Notamacropus eugenii: one gene and its partners. The protein of the gene in region 1 interacts with the protein of each later gene in a biochemical or structural test. Links are inferred from orthologs where the notes say so. Each region holds a gene or a part of one and is shown in the gene's direction. Other genes may lie near its edges.

What was found. The genes of interacting proteins can lie anywhere in the genome.
Region 2: the proteins of NR2F1 (region 1) and GTF2B form a complex in vitro, tested with the Homo sapiens proteins (2 studies listed by BioGRID and IntAct). The link is inferred for Notamacropus eugenii from reciprocal best matches to the Homo sapiens genes NR2F1 and GTF2B.
Region 3: the proteins of NR2F1 (region 1) and BCL11B form a complex in vitro, tested with the Homo sapiens proteins (2 studies listed by BioGRID). The link is inferred for Notamacropus eugenii from reciprocal best matches to the Homo sapiens genes NR2F1 and BCL11B.

Annotation. Positions count from the first base shown.
Region 1 is NC_092875.1:445,983,923-445,991,944, reverse strand, and holds the start of NR2F1 (COUP transcription factor 1), read left to right. Parts: upstream 1-4,943; 5' UTR 4,944-5,037; intron 5,038-8,022. UniProt on the Homo sapiens protein: Coup (chicken ovalbumin upstream promoter) transcription factor binds to the ovalbumin promoter and, in conjunction with another protein (S300-II) stimulates initiation of transcription. Binds to both direct repeats and palindromes of the 5'-AGGTCA-3' motif.
Region 2 is NC_092873.1:499,140,755-499,148,241, reverse strand, and holds the start of GTF2B (transcription initiation factor IIB), read left to right. Parts: upstream 1-4,273; 5' UTR 4,274-5,421; coding exon 5,422-5,438; intron 5,439-7,487. UniProt on the Homo sapiens protein: General transcription factor that plays a role in transcription initiation by RNA polymerase II (Pol II). Involved in the pre-initiation complex (PIC) formation and Pol II recruitment at promoter DNA.
Region 3 is NC_092872.1:356,898,376-356,905,986, forward strand, and holds the start of BCL11B (B-cell lymphoma/leukemia 11B), read left to right. Parts: upstream 1-4,397; 5' UTR 4,398-5,211; coding exon 5,212-5,269; intron 5,270-7,611. UniProt on the Homo sapiens protein: Key regulator of both differentiation and survival of T-lymphocytes during thymocyte development in mammals.

The DNA of each region.
Region 1 (8,022 bases):
GGCACAGTAATCCATCACTCAGAGCTGCTTTTATATACCAAATCAGAGAGCAGAGGAAAGAGCCCTGAGGGACATCACAGACAACAACTTACACCAACACTGGGAAAATACAGGGGAATCAGTTTATTTAAAGAGGATAGATTTCAGTTGATTGCCTATTTCATCAAATAAAGATTTTTCTTGCATAATGTTGTGGACCCAAGGCTACATCTTCAGAACTCTGTACTGCTTTTGCAGCTGACATCAATAGGGTGTGAATTTTTTTAATTATTAGCATCATTAGCAACTAAGAGCAAATATCTGCAAATATGATGTTATTTTTTGCTATTCAATTTCCGAGTGTTTAATACACTCAAAGCTTTCAGTGAGGACTAACTGCAAATTTGCCTGCCAGACTACAACTTAACTGACTAGCTTCTGAGAAGTCACCTTTGAGATGTCCTTTCATGTACAGAATGAAATAATTCAAAGTGTGTGACTTTGTAAGTACCATGCCAAGTTTAAAGACTTGAAAAATGTCATTCTACCACATAGGGTAAATTCTTTGGAGCAAATTAAGCTCAATAAACAACTTTTTTAAATTACAAAATATCTTTATCTTTTAATTCACTTAACAATGCTGGTAAGATACCATTTAATCTGTTTTGATGCTGAGAGAACACACTGCGCAATTGTTACAGCTATCAATGCATCTTCATCAAGGTGTATATATACAGTATATTCATGAGTGCAAACATAGATCAGAGCAATGTTGGCATATGTGCCTATTCAAGCACATGCACACAATTCTACCCCTGAGGATTATCTTTACACAGAACAATGTGCTCTAAATGACAGTATATTTCCATGATGAAAAACAGTGATTGACAAGAAATATATGATCCACATTGTATCATTGTTGTCAAACATCTACTTCATTTGTGGAGTTCAATGTAAATAGTAATCAGAGGGAAAGAATTTTCAAAGCCTCAGACAGACTTTGCTGTCCAGGTCCTGGCCCAAAGAAGAAAGATAAATCTAAACAGTACTAACTGGACAATCCCTAAATCGGTCTAAGGACCATGACCATATGATTGCAATTCGTAGCCATGCTGATGCATTATTTTAATTCAATGCATGGATCTGGCATTTATTGATTTAATAAGGTTAAGGGAATTTCACAGTAGTTGCTACTGATGAACTGTCAGAAATTTAATTTAGTGAAATTCTTAGGTAAGAATATGCATTTGTAGGGGAGAGAGACAACCAATATAAGTTGGAGAAGACAGATCTCAACAAAAAAGTTCCCCTTTCAGCTGAAAAGGTACCTGAAGGAGATCCTGGTCAGAAGGAGAAGTTTTGCTGATCTACTGAAAGTATACCCATTGCAGTCCACAGCAAAGCTTCTTAGCCAGCCTACTTGGCCCTTCTGATATTTTCTGGAATTAAAGATGGTACTCAAAGGGCAATATGGTGTTCACACTGCCCTTTAGGAAACCTTTGAGCATCACACTAACGGTTAATGGTCTGAGGGAATCAAGATCAAGATAATTTCTGCCATATCAGAATGAGTAAGAACTCAGGCTAAGTCCCCACACAACCCCCCACCACATACACACACACACACACACACACACACACACAAACACACACACACACATCTTTTTTTGCCTCATGAAGTCTCACCAGTCCTAGACATGCTCCCTTACCTTGATGTCTAACATGGTTTCAGGCAGGAAGGCAGCAAATTATCCCTGGGCCCTGGCCTTTTCCTGAGAACCATCAGGACAGGGGAAGGAGAGGCAGGAAATGTACCTTCCTGGAAAGGATTCTGCCCAAACATAACAACCAAAGTGGAGGGGGAGGGAAGTGTCAGGGTGTGTAAGATAAAGTAACAAAATGAGTAGTGACTAGAATGAGGTCCTTGGTCAAGAAAGGGAAGAAAAATGTTTACATGTCTCTGCAGCATCTATCTTAAGGTACCACTACTGAGAGGAGAACTTTTTTATCAGAACCAGAATAGCTAACCTGTTTGTAGGCTCAACTCCTTCCTGGCACACCTGGGTAGCATGTTTTTCTCCGTTTTCCCGGGACTTTGAAGAAGCGGATAATCTGAGGAGCCAGAGCTGCTGTTGCCCGGGTCAGTAAAACTATGCTAATTGGTGAACCTAATTGCTTCAAGCAGTCTTGTCTCTAAACAGGGAGAGCCCAGTTGATGGAGTCAGTCTGTTCCTAATAAAATGAAGAAGCACTGAATTAAATTCCCAAGGAAGGCCCTATAAAAGTTTCCACCCTGTAGCCAAATGACTTCACCTATGCTATTATCCCTCGAATGACATCTTTGAAAGAAAGCAGACCCCATTCGGCCTCCATATTCATAAATTGGCTCTGCTCAGGCCAGTCAATCTGGATTGATTTAAAAAGGCTTTTTCATCCTTCCAATCAAATGAAGTCATTGTTAATTAGATGCTTTCTGTTAACAATGTCACTTTTCCCGGAATTACCTGCTCACACTTCGCAAGCCAGCTAGAGCAACATCTGGAGCAGCAGTTTCTTTCAATCAGTCCTCAGCACAGCTTGGCTGCACAGTGGTATATTTCCTCTTCTCGATCCCTGTCTGAAGGAAGATACTATTCAGTGTCCTGGTGGCGATCTCAATGCCAGCGCTATCATTTGGAAAGATTACAAATACCTCTAGATAAACTCCTTAGACTGCACTCTCTCAAGACCTGTTTCTGCAAAACAGCAATTTCTCAGCTTTGGAACAGCCTTGAAGAGGAATGTTTCTGAACTTAATCAGGAACAAAGTTGTTTTCCGACAGTTTGCACCCACACCAAAAGCTCATTATTCTAGGAAGCTGGGTTCAGGGCGCCCCCCTCCATGCTCTGGGACCTTCTCCCTGACACTCCTAGGTGAACATCTATTGAAGGTGCAACTGACTACGTGCAGCACAGTCTGCTTAGGCGCTCACTGGCCTTTGAAAGAAAATGCTTTTTCGGAGAAGCACTAGAAAGATTTCAGCTATTGAGAATAGGGGAAGGGGGAGGGCGGAGTTGCAGGCATCGTTTTTTGAGCTCTCGATCTTTCACCATCACTATCTTTGTAGTCTAGGGCAGGGTGCAGACGGCATCCCAAGCTGCATCCCTGACGGCATCTGACAAACTGCACTCAGGAGAGGAATAGAAGACGTCAAGGAGGACTGACACTCTCCCTGAACCTCGAATGAACTGTCCAGAGCTAGAGAGACGTTTACCTGGCGACTAATAGGGCTAGGCCATCGGCAATGGGACTTGGAGGAGAGTTGAGAAGGGAGTTTTGCCCCTCCCCAGGTCGGGTTGGCCCCACTTCCCAGGCTTTCTGCCCACGTGTTCCACTTCCACATACCTTTCTGTCTTAACCAACCCCATTGACTCCACCTTTTTTTTCCTCCCAAAACTCATCCCAATCTTACCCTTCACAGAAAAATGTGACCCAGATTTCCACACACTCCTCTGCAAACAGTCTTTCTGCCCCACCTTCCCTACTATGCAACTGCAGGCTAAATCCTAAAAAAGTTGGCCCTTTTGGTCTAGCTAATGTGTCTCTTCCTGGACCTAACCACTCACCTCACTGATGCTGATGTTTCTTCTTGCACCCTACAACACCTCTATGGTAGAAAGGAAACCAATGGTTTCTCAGAAAACAGAGAACTGAGACTTGTTTCCCTTCCTCCTGGGGTCATATTATCCTCTAGACAAAGAGGCTGCAGATACTCCATGGTTCCTCTCAAGATATAATCTCCAGCAAAAGAGGAAGGACAAGAGTGGTGGCGGAAGGACTCCTACACAATAGGATCTCATTTAGACTGCCATAAATTGGTGATTTATTTATAAGGGAACTTATTTCAGTAGAGAGGTAGAAGAAGGCAATGATACGTGACTTGAGAGAGGATGGGTAGATACATGATAGAGATCAGACCTGTGATTTCATTGATTAAGGAACTCTCAAGTGAGCAAATTCCCCCTTCCAGTGCTGTTGGGCAGCTTTTCTGTTACTTATACTCTTAGAAAGTTACCTAGAGCTCTGGGAGATTAAGTGACATGCATGTGCAAAGTCACAGTCAATATGTCAGAGACTGAAATTGAATTCAGGTCTTCCTGGCTTCAAGGACGTTTTTCTATCCACTAGGCCAGGATGCCTCTTAGGGCAAACATCAAAGTAAAAGATGACATTTGGGGCCTCCTGCCTGCTAGTCAATCCCATGGCTTGATTGGGCTGGGAAAGTGAACACATAGGTACCCAGAGGAAAACAAATACTGGGTTCTGAGGTTAAAGACCACCAAAGACTTAAGAAAGACTTTCTTGCCTCTGGTTTTTTTTTCTTCTTCAGATTGATTGGATGAAGGGGCTTCTTGAATGGGGAGGAGGGGGAAGGAAGAGAGTCTACTCTAAGTGTCAGTGATCTGACCTTTGTAAAAAGAAATGCTCTAGCATTGACATATATCAGATATCTTGTAGGCTAGGGATCTGGCTATTCATCTAAAGCCATCCTTCCCCTAATTCGCTCTGCAGAGGAAGTAGAACACATGGGTTAACCAGCATTTAAATCTTGATTTTTTAATGATTCAGCACTGAAAGACCACAAATGTTGAAGTGGCAATAACAGTAATAGGCTAAAAGATTGGACAGGCAAGACATAGGTAAATCTGAGGAATTTAGAATTTTAATCTCAAAATCCTTGACACCCAGAACTTCTTGAACCAATGATACCATGAGCTCCTCAGCTCTTCAAAAGGACAAGTTAACTAAGTTTCTTGTAGCTCTATCTCTTTGGGAGGGAAGCAGACAATAGCAGCTGAAACACCTGCGATCTATCATTGCAATAAAATATGTACAGTAATGTGGAGTCATTTCTCTTTCCGCTTCCAGAGGGAGCTCAAACCTGAAAAATCAAGGTTAGCATTCTCCAAACTGTAAACATTTTCAACAGGAGACACTGCAAAACATGAAAGGGAAGCTTGCGGCCCTAACCCCAGAGAGCATTGACAATTTCACACAGAAAGGACGTCCCGATTTCCGTAAGATTCTGTTGCTTTTTTTATTAGTGTTTATGTCAACCTAAAATAGGACACGCGGTTGGGAAGTGACTTGGGGCAGGGGGTTGGGGACTGGAGAAAGAAAAGGAGGAAGAATGGGGGAGAAGGGGAGAGAGAGAGAGAGAGAGAGCTCATTTTAAACACCTATGTGTTTAAGTGCTTTAATCTCATTTGAGAGAGAGACCTGACTATCGATGGGTAAATCATAGTTTGAGTTGAATTGGAAGGATGGCTTTAAAATGTGAATCTTTATGACTATTTTGTAGTTATGAAGTTCACGTAGCTCTAAGAAATCTTTGTGTAGCTATGTCCACCTCCTTAAGCGGTTTATCACAGTTCTTGTATGTTTTGAGGAAGGTCTCACATGTCATATCCCCCCATATGTGTATGGCCTCTAACCAATTCACATACCTGTCTCTGTGGTTGTCTGTATAGTACTCTACTTCCTGTTGTGATAGACTTAAAGCAATGCCGATGTTTCAAGTCACTGACTTCTGAATAAGCAGTAGAATTCCCAGAGTTGGTAGTTCTTCCTCCGCTCCCAACCCCCGATCCAAGAGGCGAGAAGAGGTTCTGTACTGAAAGGACAGAATATGTTTGGAATCTAGAGTTTGGGACTTAAGAAAGGATGGAGTATGGCTGAATCCGAGCCTCTTTGAAAGTATAGCTAGGTCAGTCCTGACCCTCGAAACTCCAGTCTCCCACCCCCCCCCCCCCCAACCCCACTAACAACACACAGCCATTCTAATCACCTGTTCTGCCTGAGCTTTCACCTTGGTCCAGACCCCAAACTCCCCGAAGGTTGTCCCCAAAGTCCAATGTGGCTCCCTTAACCCCTTTCTGATGGGAGGAAGTTCTGCCAGGCAGACACTGGATATTCTGTGCCAGAGCCAACCAGAGCCAGGACTCCCAACAGAAAGACACAGTCAGGTACTAGTTGCAAATGCTCTGCTTTTGAAATACCTAGATCCCTTTCTCCCCCGACCCCATTCCATGAAATGACAATGTCACTGTTTGGGTTTGTTGTTTTTAAATACATTAACGGATCATTGTGGTCTCCCTTGTCAAGTCATTATGCCTTTATCCCCACCAATTAACCACACCTCACAGGGCTGCTATTAAGAGCTAAATTGAGCTTAAAAAGTGAGGTATCCCATTTCATACAGATGTTGTAATCTCCCGCAGATAATCGCGGCAAACCGCCAGAGAAATTACTGGAGGTCAGGTCGAATTCGCTCCTCTGGAGGGATGCTGGTTCCCTCAGAACCAACTTCTGGGAAGTAGGGAACTGGTGAGCAGGGAAATCAGTTACCAACTCTGGGAGAAGTGAGAAGTCGAGTAAGTCGACTGCTTTAGGGGCTGCTGGGTTGTGAGGACTGGCGAGACCGGTATCGGACTGGGGTCGGATCAGAGAGGCCAAGAGCACCAGAAAGGGAAATCTCCTAGGTAGTGCCACAGAGAACACTCCAAGAGCAAGTCGTGCGTTTTTACGCAAGAAGTTGAGCTTGAGGATACAGTTAGGTAAGGGAAGGTAGTGCAGCTTTGTTCTTAGTCTTCTCTAGGATTGCCGGAGCCTTAATCAGGGACTTTGGGTGAAAATACCGGGGAGGTGGGATGTTAGCCCAATATATGTCGCTACTAATTTTTCTTACCAGGTTAGTTGAGTCTCCGCAAGCAGGGCTGAAACCCCTGAAAGTTTGACACAGGCAAGGGGGTTATAGGACGGGGCTCCGATTGCTGATTGCAAGCAAGCTGAGAGTACTGAAGTTGTTTAAGCAGTAAGTGAAAGAAGGTGGAAAAGTGGCGCCCGGAATTAAGAGGATTCACCCAGAAAAGACGTGAGCGGCCTGTTGTAGCTTTCTTCATTATTATCCCAGCCACGGTCCTGATCCAGCACCATCCCCCCTTCCCGCCCCAGTAGGTGCAGCTGGAGGGATCTAGGACTTCAGGAGCCAAGATCCCCTAAAAGGATCTGCAGAGCTCTGCTCCTTGACCCTGGGAAAAAGGCTTGGGTTAGGGCGGGCTTCAGGAGGAGGAAAGCTCATCAGTGTATCCTTGCCTTCGGTGACTTAGATTTCACTCTCAATGTTGGGTACAACAAATTTAGTCAAGCCTAAAGAGATTAATTTTCCAGTGTAATCCAATTAAAAGATTTCTAAAGTAATCTTTTGCAAAAAGAAAAAAAGCGCAATGCCACTAAAGAGGGCTTGGTGACACTGATTTATCGCTGGAGTGAAATGAGTGGGCAGGACTCTCTCCCCCTCCCCTTGATGGAATTTGACCAGTACATCCTCTCGCTGCCTCCAGTGGAAAATATATTTGCTTTTCGGAAAGACACCCATCCATCACGCCAACCTGTGCATCCGATAATATGGAGGGGAGTTGGGTTGCTTACAAGCACCATAGACTTTTTAAAGTGCTAATAGATTTATGGTCTCTTTCTCGACGCCCATCCAGAGTAATTAGCACATATGTTCTAAATAGATGATAGTTTTGTGAGCAGTAAAGCAATTACCCATCGTTGGAGCTGACAGTTCCTCCAACTAAACTCCAACCAGCAGCTAATTGGAAAAGTCATTTCAGCTCCATTGTCTGCAATTAGTCCTGCTAAACTACTACACCCCAACTAGCTGGTTTGAGGTTAATTTATTCCCTCTTTTTATTTTCATTGGAAGAGCCTTGCCAAATAGGACTTTCCTGTTGCCCTTCAGGACGTTGCCCTGGGACTGAGTGGAGACTTGAGCCCTCTGGGGGTGGGGAAGGAAGCGGGGATGTGGGGGACTTCCTGGGTTCGCTTGTGGGCTCAATCATCTGTGCCAGGCTGAAGAAGGGAGCACCTTTTTCCTAACAATTTCTGTGTCCAGCAGCCTAAATTCAGTCTAAATAAAATCTCTTCCTTAGTTGGCAGCAAGTAATTTGGTTAAGTTTCAAGCTTCTAAAAGTCGTTTTTCTTCCTTGGCGTTAAAA
Region 2 (7,487 bases), on another chromosome or scaffold:
GTAATGGGGACCTCTTGTGTCTATGTCTGTCTTTAAACCATCTCTCATTTTGGACATCAATAACTTGTTGAAACAAGTCAGGTTGGAGTTATCTTAATTGCACCCATGTTATTTTTACTTTTAATTTCATACGAATTTGAATCTTCTAAGAACTTCATGTGCTAGTTGCGTAAGAATAGCTGATTCAGAAATGACTCCCACATTGGTGCCCAGTCACTTTTTCTATTAAAATATAATCACATTCATTGTTGGTGACATCATTTGGAGTATCCTTCCTGACTTTTCTTGAAGCCTGTATCCATTATATGGAGACATGAGAATTCAACATACACTGGAAGCCTTGGAGTTTTCTTTTCATTTCTTACTTCTTGCTTACTTTCATTTCTTACTCCTGATCTGTGTTCTTTCCCTTCTCTTCTTTCTCTCTTTGAAATAACGCTCAAGTCAGGAGTGGGGAACCTGTGACCTCGAGGTCATAGGTTGCCCACCCCGGCTTAGGTGTAAGAAATGAATTTTTAAAACTATACATATATGCATACATGCATAGAGAGATCTATATATGTATAGATATATTTGTATATATCTCTAAATCACCAAGTATTACTGTACATGTTGATTTAATATAGAGGGGTTTCATCAAGGTCTTCATAGAATTTTTGTTCCTCTCATTCTCTACATACATATCGATGCAAAAATTGCCATGATTTTCATGGTGATTTTTTGGGAGGCACTGTTTACTATGAGTATTATATTACAAGATGACCAAATTTCCCATTAATTATCAGGGCAGCTAGGTGGATCGGTGAATAGAGTGGTGGGCCTGGAATGAAGAACATCTACTAGCTGTGTAACTCTGGGCAAGTCACTAAACCCTGACTGCTTCCAAAAAAAAAGAAAAAAGACATACCCCTAGTACCATCTTCATGTAATCCCCCCCCAACTGCTAGTGTCCTTCTCAAACGACCCTATATTTAACTATTTTGTATATATCTGCATTTATTCAATGTATGTGTGTGTATGTGTGTGTGTATATGTGTGTGTGTGTGTGTGTGTGTGTGTGTGTGTGTGTGTGTGTACACACAGAATGCTGGGCATGGAGTAAGGAAGACTCATCTTCCTGATCTCAAATCTGGGCTCAGATTCTTACTAGCTGCATGACCCTGGGCAAGTCACTCAACCCTGTTTGCCTCAGTTTCTTCACCTGTCAAATGAGCTGGAGAAGGAAATGGCAAATCACTCAAGTATCTTTGTCAAGAAAACCCCAAACTGGGCCACAATGAGTCAGATGTGAATAAAATGACAACAATAGAAAAACAAAAATCGAGTAGAATTGTTTCCAGGGATTCCTTATGCTAGCTGTTCTATAGATCTTTTCTATTTTTCAACCAGTATCAGAATAGTTTTTGTGTGTGTGTGTGTGTGTTTGGTTTGTTTGTTTTGGAGACAACTGGGGTTGAGTGACTTGCCTAGTGTTTGATGCCATATTTGAACTCAGATCCTCCTGATTCCAGGACCAATGCCAAAACAGTTTTGATGATGATTCATTTGTCATATAATTTGAGGTCTGGAAGTTATTCTCCCTGAATTCCTACTTTTTTTTTATGATTTCCCTTGAAATCCTAGGTCGAGGCCTTTGGTTCCTTCCAATGAATTTTATTGTTTTGTCTTGCTGTATAAGGCACACCTTGGTGGTCTGACTGGTAGCTTTCCCATTTTTTTACAGTCACACAGTTGACTAGAAGAGGTGGAAAATCCTAAAGACCCCTCACTGCCTATTGTTTTCTGTCTATTAAAAAAAAAGCATTTGATTTGAAGAAGCAGACTCCTGCCTTAAAGGTTGTCTTTCTCTTGGAAAAGGAAGGAATCTGAGCTTTCTGATTTTTCATCCAAGGTAATTTCTACTACCTTATTCATGCTTTCCTCTATTGCCCAAGACAGTTCTTATTCAGGGGAAGCAAGATTTTAATAAATTTGATAATACCTATTATTAAATAATAAAATGGGCATATTTTATTGACACTAATGAACAGAATTATATGGTGGGCAACAAGCTCTGTGTAGGCCCAACCTATTTTTCATTAGTCTTTACACACAGAGCATACCCATAATAAATATAGGACTGAACTAAGATTGTACCATGTTGCTCTCCATTGTAACTGGGGCTATGAAAACATGGCACAATGAAAAGACTGTTGTATTTGGAGTCAGAGGTCCTGGGTTTGAATTCAGCTCAGCTCTTTACTACCCATGTGAACTCTTAGAAATCTCTACACCTTCCCAGGGTCTCAGTTTCTTCATCTGTAAAATGTGGAGTTTAGACTAGCTGGTCTCTGAGAGTCCTTTCAGTTCTAAATACACGATACAGCTTGGTGGAACATGTTAAGGACAGTGAAGGGGTCTCCTGAATTTGCCATTTTGAGTTGCCATATTTTTCCAGAAACACTGAACCTAGAATATCCAAGAGGCCCTGAATGCGTGAAGGACAAAGCTCCCTGCCTCCACATCTTCCCCAGCTGATGTAATTTGCTGTTTTCATCCCAAACTGTGATGGGGTGCTTGGGTGCTTGTGCTTTTATCCCAATTTCAAGATACCATTTCTCCTTAGTTTCAAAAAACACTATCCCTGACAATTTTCACCCCAGCCCTAGGACACTATGCCTAGCAATAACTCATGAGTGCGCCCCAGTAAAACAAACTACCTTTCCCCACAATTACTCAGGAGTGGGCCCCATCACAAGAACAAGCTGACCTCTGAAGAAGTTCTCTTGTAAAAACAGGACTATCTTGTAACCACCGAATTGCCATGTATTGATTCACAAAGTTATCATATTCAATCCAGAGGTCAAGTTATAGACATCAACTCTCAAAGCTACCTTGCTACTGATAATGTTTAATATAAAATTTTGGAATAATCTCTTTGTTCTCTCTGAAGCAAACTCAGAGAATGCCTCTTCCTATGTCAACAAAGCCAGCCAAGGTTGACTCTACATTCCTTAGGAGACCTTTAACCTAAGATACTATCTTGAATAATGGGATAGACACATACTATGTCATGGCATATTAATGGTAAAGAAAATATAGACATCTTAGGTCGTAATTTCTATTGAACTTTGTTTACCCTTTCCTGTCAGTTATCTGTTTAGGGCAGGAAGCCTGCCACTCACTAGTGGTGGGATTTCCTTCCTTATCACCGAGACATATGTTTACCCAGCTGGAATTGCAAGGCCTGACCAACATTACTTTGTTAATTGTCTTGTCTTACTAAATTTATGATTTGTTCAACTAGGAGAGTTCCTTTCTCACAGCAAAATGTATATAAGCCAGAAGATTTCTGCACTGGGTAGCCAGAACATTTCTGGCTCCATAATGCATTATGTTACCGTTGTCTTTAATAGGGAATTGATTAATTAATTAATTAAATCATAAAATGTATGCATTTAGCCTGTTGACTTTTCTTTAACAAAGTATTCAGGTCAACACTACAGACATAACAGATCAAAAATACACCCCTGAGAAACCCCTTCCCCCGGTTTCCAATAGTGAATGATGCCTGTGAACAAGGTTATAAGTTATCATTTAATTAGCATATCTGCTGGATAATTCACTAGTTTTCCTATATTAGCTTTAGCATCATTCCTGTTAAGTGGCAAGTTCCTTAGGGAACACTGCCTAGCATATTGGCATTACAATAAACCTTTGTCACCTTGACTTACAGAATACTTGAGTCCATGAATTCATTCCATATGACCCTGTCCAGTACTCAGGTCTTTGGGGATCCCTGAGCCCCTTAAAGTGCATCAATTGGACTCTCTGTGTGCCCTTGGGAGTCAAGACAAGGGGCCAGTCAGTCTTCACTAGGCTGAGAAACTGCTTATGTCGCTGGGACCCTGTAGATAAGAAGACCATTCCATTTTCATAGCCTAGAAAAGAATGGGGCTTTTGCTCCTCCCCTTCAAGAGCGGTTTTCTCCTTTTCCCAATTTTCCTGCACCTTTCCCCCTCCCTTGCCATACCCCTTTAAGTGGAGATATCTGGTATCTCCTCCTTCCTTTGTCCTGCTGTTATAAATATGCAAACTTCTGGAAGGTATCCTTCTTTCCTTTGTACCAGGGCACAAACTTTCTTCTTATGGCTTCTAAGGTGCTCACAGACTGCAGAAGCAGGTAAGAGAATCTCGCTGTCTTCTATTTAAGCTAGATATTAAAGAGTTATGTAAAAATATGATAAACTGCCACTTGTCTCCCTAATTTTTGTTTTGGAAAATCGTGTTTTTTTTCATAAAATTATGCTTTTACAGGAAATCTTTACCAACTCCTCTTAATTCTGGGGTCTTCCATATATATGCATATATATATATTTATGTATATATATATATTCTTAAATAATTATTTTTTTATCTTGCACAGTTTGCTTTTTAGATAACTATTGATACGCTGTTTTCCCATTAGTTTGTAAGATCTTTGAAGGCAGGGACTGTCTTTTGCCACTTTTTCTGACCTCAGTGTTTAGCGCAGTGCCTACCGCATACTTGGTGCTTATTAAATGTTTAATGATAATATAATAATACACATCACAATATTATATTTATTGTTCAGTCAATGTCGATGAGGTTTTCTTGGCGAAGACATTGGGGTGGTTTGCCATTTCCTTTTCCAGTGTGTCCTTTCATACACATGAGGCAAAGACGGGTTAAGTGACTTGCCCAGGGTCACGCAGCTAGGAAGTACATGAGGCTGGATTTGAACTCGGATCTTCCTGACTCCAGGCTTGGCCCTCTACCTATCCACTGCACCACCTAACTACAGACAGACACACAGAATTAATGTTATTTATAAATATATAATTATATAGGGTTGAGTGATTGATGCTCACATGGAATGGGTTTGTTTTTATTTTATTAATAAACTTGTAAATATTTTAAAATTTTATCAGTTTAAATTTCTACTGACGGATATAAGCCACATAAACAAAGGTTTGGGGAGGTCCTCGATGATAAAGGCTCCTGAGCACAAAAGCTGCACTTACCGCGTCAATTTCAGGCATGACGGTGCGGGGCAGCCCCGGAGGACGTAACCCGGCTCTACGCACTTCAGCGAAAGCTTTTCTCGTCCGGTCGTTTCCGGCTTTCATTCAGGACGAGCCTCACTCAAGTCGAGTCAGCTGACTCCCAGGGGAGGCTGAGTTAATTACACCCGAGGGGCGCCGGCGGAAGAAAAGGCGAAGCCCGTGAGCAGTGGAGCTTCTTGGCTCCTCTCCCGTTCCGTAGTCCGCGCGTCTTACTACGGCTGCGCGCTGTCTGCCTATAAAAGCGGCGCCGCCTGCGGCTTCCCGGAGTTGTCCTTGCGCTTCTCTCTGTTCCGCTGTGCTGTTTTTCGTTCCGCCTGGGGGTCTCATCGAAACCTCCACCGCGGCCGCCGTCAAGATGGCGTCCACTAGCCGGTCAGTAAGTCCTGCTCCGACTCGCCGGGAGCGAATCCTCGGTGGGGCGGCTTCCGCGGGGCTCCGCGGCGGCGTCGCGGGGGAGGCGAGGCCGAGGAGGCGGGGCCGGGCCCGGGCGCGTCCGGGGGGACGCGGGGGGTTCTCTTCGCCCGCCCTGGGGCTTTCCTCGGACGCTTCCTCTTTTTCTCTCCTGGCCTTGGTCGCGGCTTCTCCGCCGGCCGCCCCCTCCTCGGGTCTCAGGCTCAGCCTAGGCCGACGGCGCGCCGTCTCCGAAAGCAAACCTTCCTACCCCAAATCCCTTCGGGCCTTCTGGGGGAGTCCCTCGGTGGGGTCGGGGGGAGCGCGGCCCTCGCTCCGATGTCGCGTCGACCCTCCTCCGGACGGGCTGCCCTTTGCCCCGGGCGGGTTCAGTCCCCAGCCCAGCCTCTGGTCTTCGGGCCCAAACTGAGTCCTGCGGCTGTTGCCTTTCCCACGGGGAGACCCTGCCCCGGGGCCGCCTGGTTCCCCCCCTCGTCGTGCCCCGCCGCCCATCCTCCGAGCCCGGCGGGCGCCTGCCGTCTTCTCCCGAGCACTCGTAGGCCACTGGGGACTCCCGCCGGCTGCGGGCCGGCCCGGCACCCTTGTTTACAGCCTCCAGTTGGGTCACCCTCGCAGTGGGTGTGGCCGTCAGGTGAGGGTGTGGGGGGCCGCGGGATGGAGACGTCAGGTGTTGCGAGGGCCCTCGGACGGAAGGGAGAAAGAAAGCGCTTCTTTACCATAGATGCTTAGGTACGTTTCGTCATCTTCTGTAACATTTAGGGCAGAATTTAATTGAAAATACATTGGAATACACTAGGGACTGCCCTGCCAATCAAAGGACGTACTATGGTGTTAAGTCACTGTTTACTCTTTGTGGATTAAGGACATCCGTTTCCCCTGAATTAGCACCTTCACCCAAGAAAGGAAGGAAGATGGGGGGAAACCAGGATCTGTTCTTGTTACTTCTTGGAGCTGTTCAGTTTTTGTAAGAGCTGTGTTCTCCAAAAAGCAGAAGAGTTATGTTTTGCGTTCAGCTTTGGTGCGGCAGAAGCCTGTGCTGGGCACTGGGGAAGAGTTTCTTTGAGACCTAGGCCCTGCCTTCCTTGGGTTGGATGCAGCCTGGAACCCAAAACAAGGTTCGGAATCAGCTCTGACTTCTCCTTTTGCCGGAGAATCGTCTGTTTCAGAGTCTCTTTTTCCCTTTCCCTTCTCCCTTCCCCATTATCCTTTTATGGTGGTATAATTGTTATTTTTTATGCTTTTATGTTCATTTTAGGTATTTATAGGTCAGGAAAGCATTTTCATGTTTTACTGGTGGAGAGGGAAGAGAAGGGAGTACAAAGCTTAATAGTATGACTGAAGGAAATTTAAGTTTTGCAGAAATAATCAGAATCATCTTTTTATGTTACATTGATGCAAAATTGGGATGTAATATAGTGACCCACGAGTCAGGAGATCTGAGGTCACTAATCCTCACCAGACCTCAGTTTCCTCATCTGTAAGTGAAGGTGTCTGACGAAATGATTTCTAGTGTTCCTTACAGTTGAAAAGTCTGTAAAACTTTGAAAATTGAACCGTTTCTCTGTTAAGCTTCAACCTGAGTTGGTATGTCCATTCTTTGGGAATATAAATTCTGAAACCGGCCCTATGATAATCAAAATACTTGATGCTGTGGCCTGTGAAAGTCTTTAGTTACCTCAAGTAACATGCTTTCGGTAACCAGAACGTTCGCCCTAAGAATTGGATTATGGAAGTTTTTTATTCAGTGTGATACTGACTGTTGAGAAAATATTTTTTATATTTGTCCTAAAGTGGTTTTATGAATGGAATAGAAGTGGTGAGGCAATTATTATTTGGATCTTAAGGGAATGGGGAAGGCAGCTTTTAAAACATGATGAGTGCTTGAACCTTTCTGATTAAACTGATTCGTATTCTGTCTTTAAGAAATCTTAAGACTAAAAGGTTCAACTTTAACCATGAACTAGTATGCACACAAATATTTGATTACACATGAGCAGCACTACTAGCGTC
Region 3 (7,611 bases), on another chromosome or scaffold:
GGAATGCATTTTTTTTAAAGGGGGAGACAAGAGAAGGGAATTATTTTTCCACTTTAAAGAAATTTTTGACACTTGCTGATTTTTAAAAAATTAAGACAGAATATTGAAAAGCCGTATTTCTTTACTTTAAGCCGTTTTCATCATTCTTCAGGATCAATTAATTTTTCTAAAAGGAAAAGTCCTTGACTGAGTGCCATCTGTCAAACAGACTAGTAAACTGTCTTTAGTCACTAAAGCCAGAGTGAATACACGTGCAACCTGTACTTCTTGTAATTTCCACAACATGTTAATTTTCACGTTCTTTTTTTGAAGTACCTTTTATTATAATCAAACCACTGATAGATCAAAGGCAGGGTGAGGGAGATCCCTGGAACAAGAATGAAAATAATTCGTGGGACAGAAACATTTCTGGTCCCAGTGCCATTGTAGCTGGCAGTGCTGGGGGAAAGAGTGGAAGAAAAGGAAAGGCGGTGGGGTAGGTGGGGGTGGGGGGCGAGTTCAGCTCGCCCCGGGAGAGAGGCTAGTTCTTCTTGTTTGTCTGCTGTCACCGATTGTGACTTGATATCGACAGAGTGAGAAAACAGAACAGTGGGCCCAGCTGCAGACGGAGGCGGGGTCGAGGGATAGGTCAAGGTTGGAAAAGAGACTGCTATTGATCTGGCTTTGAACGCGAGACAGGAGAGCAAGGAGACTAAAGGGGGAGCTGTGAGACAAGACATTAACAGCTTTCAGTGCTAATGATCACAAGTGCCAGACGGGGGAGAGAAAAAAAAGAAGAGACTGGAGCAGCAGTTAGGCTCTCTCTCTCTCTCTCTCTCTCTCTCTCTCTCTCTCTCTCTCTCTCTCTCTCTCTCTCTCTCTCTCTCTCTCTCTTTCTCTCTCTCTCTCTCCCTCCCTCTCCTCTTCTCTCTCTCTTTTTTCTATATTTACTTTCTTTTTCTCTTCTCTTTTTTTCTTTCTCCTCTATATTTTCTTTCCTTCCCTCTCCTCTCTCTCTCTCTCTCTCTCTCTCTCTCTCTCTCTCTCTCTCTCTCTCTCTCTCTCTCTCTCTCTCTCTTTCTCTCTCTCTTTTCATTTTTTAGGGGCAAAAATAAAAGGGCACACCTTTTTGATGAAACAGGCCAGATACCTTATCAGTGGAAGCAGAGAAGGCACCATCACACTGCCGGGATAGGCACTGTGTGCTCCCCACGCCTAGTTCAGGTTTGAGAAAGTAATAAGGAAACTCACCCATGGGTTTATCATTTATTTATCCCAGGTTCCTGAGTGAAATGCCCACTGACAGTCACTGTCTGAAGCTGCCAGCGACTTCCTGGTTGGACATGCAGAGATGGAAAGAGGATCCAGGGAAGAAATAAGGAAGGAATTCCAATTACTCCCCCCCCTTCGTAATTCCATCCCAAACTTAAGGGAATCCTGCTGAGGTCTGGATCGCTATGAAAAGTGCTTTATCTCCCCAGAGAAAGGTGAATTCTTCTCACCCTGTGGATCACTTTTCTGATGTCCCGTTGGCCTCCTTTTTCGTGTTTCCTTCCCTCTCAGAAGAACCCACAGTTTGTCTTCTCCCTCTCTCTTCCTACTCAGGTCTTGAGTTTCTTGGCTTAGCTTGTGGAACGATTTTATATCACCTGAAAAAACTACAGTTAGGTGACATCAAATTTCTCTGTGTATTATATAGGAATGTATATAGCATATGTATGATATATATGTATACAAACATACGTATTTTGTGTATATGTGTTAGTATAAAGGGGCATATATGTATATATATATGTGTATATACATACATGTATATATATGTGTGTATATATGTTATAAACAAAAAACAAGGAGACTGAAGTGCGTGTGTTCTCAGACTCCTAGAAAGGGTAAATAGATTCAGGGTAGTCAGTCTAAGGTATGCCTCTGAACTTTTTGGAGAGGTGTAAGCGAAGGGTCATTTTCTTTGAACACAAGCGGCATTCCTAGAAAGCTTTCCGTGACCCCCGACTCATCGATCATCTTGACGTTAGGTGAGGCGGCAGCTTTTCAGACTTCAGGTAAATGGAGGTAGGGCATGGAAAGATTTATGCAGAAATCTCTCTCTCTCTCTCTCTCTCTCTCTCTCTCTCTCTTTCTCTCCCTCCCTGTCTCTCTCTCTCTCTCCCTCTCTCTCTCTCTCCCCCCGCCCCTCCCCCCCGCCCGCCTCCCACGGTGGAAAAAAGCCCCTGTCCCCCGGGGGCGCTGTCTCTCCACCTAAGCCTCAACCCTGTGCCCTACAGTTTGGCCCTTATGATCTCACCACCCGGTTCGGCTCTACTGGCTCACCTCCTAGCAGAAGATGCTACTCATTCAAAAACTGCGCCCACCCCACCCCCACCCCAGCCGTTCCCCCTTGCGCTCCTCACTCTGCCTCCGGCGCTATCATTTGAGAGCAGTTCACATCTCCCCCCTCCCCCCCATTCGATTGTTTGCATAACTTTATGAGTTGACTAATTTTTTTTTTTTAAAGTAGAGTAGGATTTCTGGACGCACTCAAAATTGCTACGAGCAGTTACTATCCAGGATGCTAATTTCCTTTATAGGACCCTAAAAGCAAACAAATAACTACCACCCCACCACCCCCAGCCCATAAAGAATGAGGGGGAGGGGAGAAAAATAAACTGCTTAAGAGGTGCTAAATGCATACTACTTCTTAGCTGTTTGTGCAGACTCGCTTCTGAGCTGGTCCCTGAGAGTAGAGAGGGGCGGGGAATGGAGAAGGGGGCAGCGCTGCCCCGGAGGCCTGGGCCTCCCAGGTCACTGTCTGGAGTGCTGGGAATACGAAGTGTAGGAAAAGGAAGGCTAGGAGTGAGAGGCGAGTCTTAGAGAAGGCTTGCATTTTAAACCTCCCTGGGGACCAAGGGAGGTCCCAAAGTGGCTTATCCTCCGCTTAACAAAAGTTATCTTTCCTACGCCGTAGCCCTGAAAGCCACCTATGGGGAAGGGGAGATGAGAAAAATAGGCTGAAATGAGGAAGGTGGAGGGTAGAGTTCCAGGGATTCTACATACAGACACATACACATACACTTTTAGCCTGGGGTTCGCAGCCCTGCCTTTTTCCGGGTTTGGGCCTTGGAGTGATGCCTAAAAGGTAGTTGTATCCTTCCCAATTAAACTAGAAGGAGACAGGGAAGACTTTTAAGGGCCGTATAAATATCCCCTCTTCTTTAGATGGGTAGTGTCAGACATTCTACTGCTGAGAAACGAGTTTCTTAAGGGTATTTTGTGCCTCTCTGGCAGGGGATTCCACAGAGAGTCATGGTTAAGGGACCACGTTCAAGCTCCTCTGTGCCTTGAATTTCTTCACGAGCCAAAAGTGAATAGATAAAGGATGCCTCCGCCACCCTGCCAGAGGCATCGAACTCTGATCAACATTACAACCCTTATCTTTGCCCCCCAAACCCCCCCCCCCCCCCAAACGCTCTATGCAGATTTCAGAGTAATTGGGAGAGGGAAGGGAATGTTTGACACGAACTGACTTCAAGTAAGGAACTAGGATGAGTGTCTTTCGGGGAAAACTACGCTCAGACCGGGGGTGGGGGGATGGAAGGGAAAGAGGAGGGGGAAGGCAGATTACCAAAACAGGAGTCTCATAAAATAAGGAAGACCGCACTTCAATCTCGGCCAGAACTCTCCCTACCTCAACCGACCCCTCCGCCCTATATACAGCACTGAGGTTCTAAAAGAATCATTTTCTAGAAGAGTTTTAACAATCTTTCCTCTCCCTAAATAACTCTATACCAACCCTCAAAGAACCCACTACCTAACTTACTTGACTGGAATTTTTTTGGCGGGGTGGTTAAATAATTGGCCATCCCCCTTTCTACCTCTTCCCCAACCCGTCTCATTACAACTCCAACTATTTCCAAGTTGCTTCATATGCTCTCCCCCACATCCAAAATGATATCTTATTGGGGGGTGAAAGTGAAGGAGTTTTCCACTAGGAAAGAAGACCCTAGCTGTCGGGGTTTGTATATCTTCCATCTCCTATATCCTTCCATCAATCCAGGGTATTGCCCGCAAGAGTGGTGGACAGGTGAAGAATATTTTGTCATAATTACCATCATTTAAAAAAAAAATTACGAATTCCCCTCTGTCCCCCCAAACATGTACCATGGAAAAGCAGAAGCGCACAAAAACCCGATTTGTACATGTGGTTGGGTTGGTGTGTGTGCATGTGCGCTCGTGTGTATGTATGTGTGTGTGTGTGTGTTTTCTTGTTCTCTTGCAGGGTACAATGTTAAAAAGCCACCACTAGTCGCCCCCAGTGCTCCGACTCTCTGGGTCTTTTTGTCTCTAGTGCAGATTAAACGTCACGTCCGCACTTGAACTTGAATTTTATCCCATTGTACAGAGGCAGCCCCAGCCATAGAGAGACAGAGAGCTCCCAGAGAACCTGGACTCCGCCATCTTCACATTGCAATATATATTTATATATATATATATAATAGTAATAGCTCGCACCGACCCAGCAGCACTGGGCTACCGTCCTACCTTCCTTCCCCTGTGCCAGGCGAGGGAGAACAGTGCAAAGTGGTGCAGGGACTCTGGGAACCCAAGGCATAGGGCGAGCGTTCCAGGTGAACTGGAAAGGAGACACTACTGAGCTGCCCCCCAAAACCAGCCAAAAGGGTTAGTGTCAGAAAAAATTGGGGGGCACTTTTATGTTTCTTTTTTTTCTTTTTTCTTTTTTTTTGGCAAGGGGCGGGGGAAAACAAGTCCCAAGTTTTATTTTATTTTATTCTTTTTCATATTCTTTTTTCCGTCCTGGTGGAAGTGCGCTTTCCACCTACCAGAGACTTTGGAGAAAAGTGTCACGGGTTGGTGCAAAATCCTCTAAGTTCAAGAAGACATTTGGAAGTCCAAGTGGCCAAACAGTTTGGAGAAGTGAGAGACAGATATTTTTTTTTCTTTACCTCTTAAATTTTTTTTTTCTAAATATTGGGGGGATTTCATCTAGTGCACGACAACAACAAGAGTTTTTTTTCTTTCTAAAATTTAAATTTGAAAGTTTTTTAAACTAGAAGAACAAAATAAAGAAGAAGAAGAAGAGGAGAAAAAGGGGGCAAGAAAGAAAGAAGGAAAAAAAGAGGCGGGGAGCAGCAGCGGCTTTAACCTCCACCCCCCTCCCCTCTCCATTCCCCCCAACCGGTACAGCTCTCCGGGCGATGTCAGTGTAAATGCCAGGCAATGTCCCGCCGCAAACAGGGGAACCCGCAACACTTGTCACAAAGGGAGATTATCACACGTAAGTCTCAATTTGAAACTAGAAGAATTAGGAGCCTAGGGCTCCGGGGGTGTTGGGGAGAGGGAAACGGATTGGGAGAGTGTGTGTGGGGGGTGTCTTTAAAAAAAAGTCTTGGGGAAAAAGAGGAGGGGGTGGGGGAGAGACAGCCGAGGCTGATGTTAGTCATTGGAAATCGGAGGGGAGAAGGGGGGATTGAAAGGCTGGGGAAAGGAAGGCTGGGGTGGGGGGAGGCGAGAAAGCTTAAAGTTTCTTTTGCATCGGGGTGCTGCCGGCAGCGTGGGAGAGACAACCGCGCCGCCGGCTTTGGGGAAAGATGCAGCCCGGGAACGGGCTGGAAGGCCGGGCCGGGGGGTCGGGGGGTTTGCAGGGGAGAAGGTGTGTGTAGGGGGCACTTGGGGTGGATTGCACGGTGCACGGTGTGTGGCGGCGGCAGGACTGGGGAGGGGACGAGAGTGGGGGAGAGGAGGGGTTTGGGTGAGGAATCTGTGTGGTTTTTTTTAGGAGGGTGGATACGCAGAGCCTGGAAGTGGGGGGAAAAGTTGGAGCTTGGCTGACCGGGGGAGGAAGCGGGTGGCTGCGGGGCTGCGCTCAGGGCCCGGTTCTTGGGAGAGTTGGGGGAGACTTGAGGTAATGGCGCGGGGGGGAGGGGCGCGGCGCGCGGCGGCAGCGGCGGCGGCGGCGGCTGCCGGGGATCCGGGCAGGCAGGCGGGCAGGCAGCCGGGGAGGAGCCCTCTGCGCCCGCCAGCCAGCCCGCGGGAAAAGAGTCAGGTCCTCGGGACTCTGAGCCTGGAGAGGGGAGGGGAGCCCAGGCTGCAGGCCAGTGCAGCTTTCCAGGTGCTGCAGACCAATCCACCCCCCCCCACCCCCAGCAAAACAACTGAACTTGGTAGCTGCTTGCCCAGCCTCAGCACCCCCCTACTTTCTCCCCCCACCCCATTTCCCCACCTCCGTGTCTCCTGGGATAATCCTGCTTTCTTTTCCCCCTCCCTTCCCCCCCAAAAGGTGGGGAGACTTGAGCTGTTGAAAAATTCCTACCACTGGGAAAAGTATGTCAGCTAAGAATGGGAGAGATTGGGGTGCACCTATCCATCTAAAAGTAGATACCTATCCATCTATCATCTATCAATCGAATCCATCTTCTTCCCTGTCTAAATCAACACAAGCAAAGATAGCCCTCATTTGCAGTCAACTACACTGAGAAAGCGAGTTGCTGGGAGGATAGATTCACTTTAGGAGAGCCAAGTCTGGAAACACCATGTGTAAGCTGCAGTTTCCAACGCTCTTGCAAAAAAGAAAGAGAAAGGAAGAGATAGAGAACAAAATAGACAAACGTACACAAAGGTAGACGGAGGAAAGCCTCCCAGACGCTGGAAGATGAAGTCCAGGCTCTCAGTGGCACCGGTGGCCAAAGGTCTGGCTGCACCTCCTGCCGCACACAAGCTTTCTCCCTTTCTCTCTAGCCCTCTGCCTGCAACGCGTGCTTCACTTCTCAGCCGCGCGCAATTTTTTTTATTGCAATAGAAATAAAACATCCTCTGGGTGCAATCAGGATCCGAGGCAGGTTGTTTTCTCGCAATTCACCATAAACCTATTATGGTTGTGGCCAAAACGCCCCGGCTGTGTTCGGGAGGGCTGTGCGCCGAGCAGCCGAGGGCTGTCTGGAGACGGTGGAAATGCGAATATTTATGTTATATTTTTAAAAAATTTAAATAAATAAATAAAGATATAAATAAATAAATAAATATATGGGGTCTTCCCCTCCCCTGAAAACCAAGAATAGAAGCCATCTGCTAGGAGCTTTGGGTGTTGCGATCTGTTCTTTGTTACAGAGAGAAATTTGTAAGAATTTGGTGGATTATTTTTTGAAGGGGGGTATGGGAGGGATATATTTGAGTCGCGTTTGGCTTTAAATGGGGATGACCTTTTTGGAGGGAAGGGGAGGAAGCTCACTTTAATTTTGTATCCCCCCCCCACCTTTGTGAGAACATAAATGAAGATTCAACCTGGTTACATTGTTATTTAAAAGAAACAAAATGTTTCGCAACCAGATTTGAGCTTCATTTATTTTCTTTTCTTAAAAATAAAGGTACTTTAGGCTAATTGACATTTTCTTCTTTTACCGAGGAGTAACAATCACAATGTCCCCCTTTTTTTGGGGGGGGAAGGAATTGAAAAACGTCTACCCGGTAGACATGAATCTAATTTCCTGAGAATTCAATCTCCCCCCCCCCACCCCAAGTATTTTCTTTATGATTGCTTAGGTTGTTTTTTGGGGAGGGGGAAAGGTGGGGGGAGTTGTTGAGGGGTTGGTGGTGGGGATAATAAGGCTTGTGGTGGAGAAA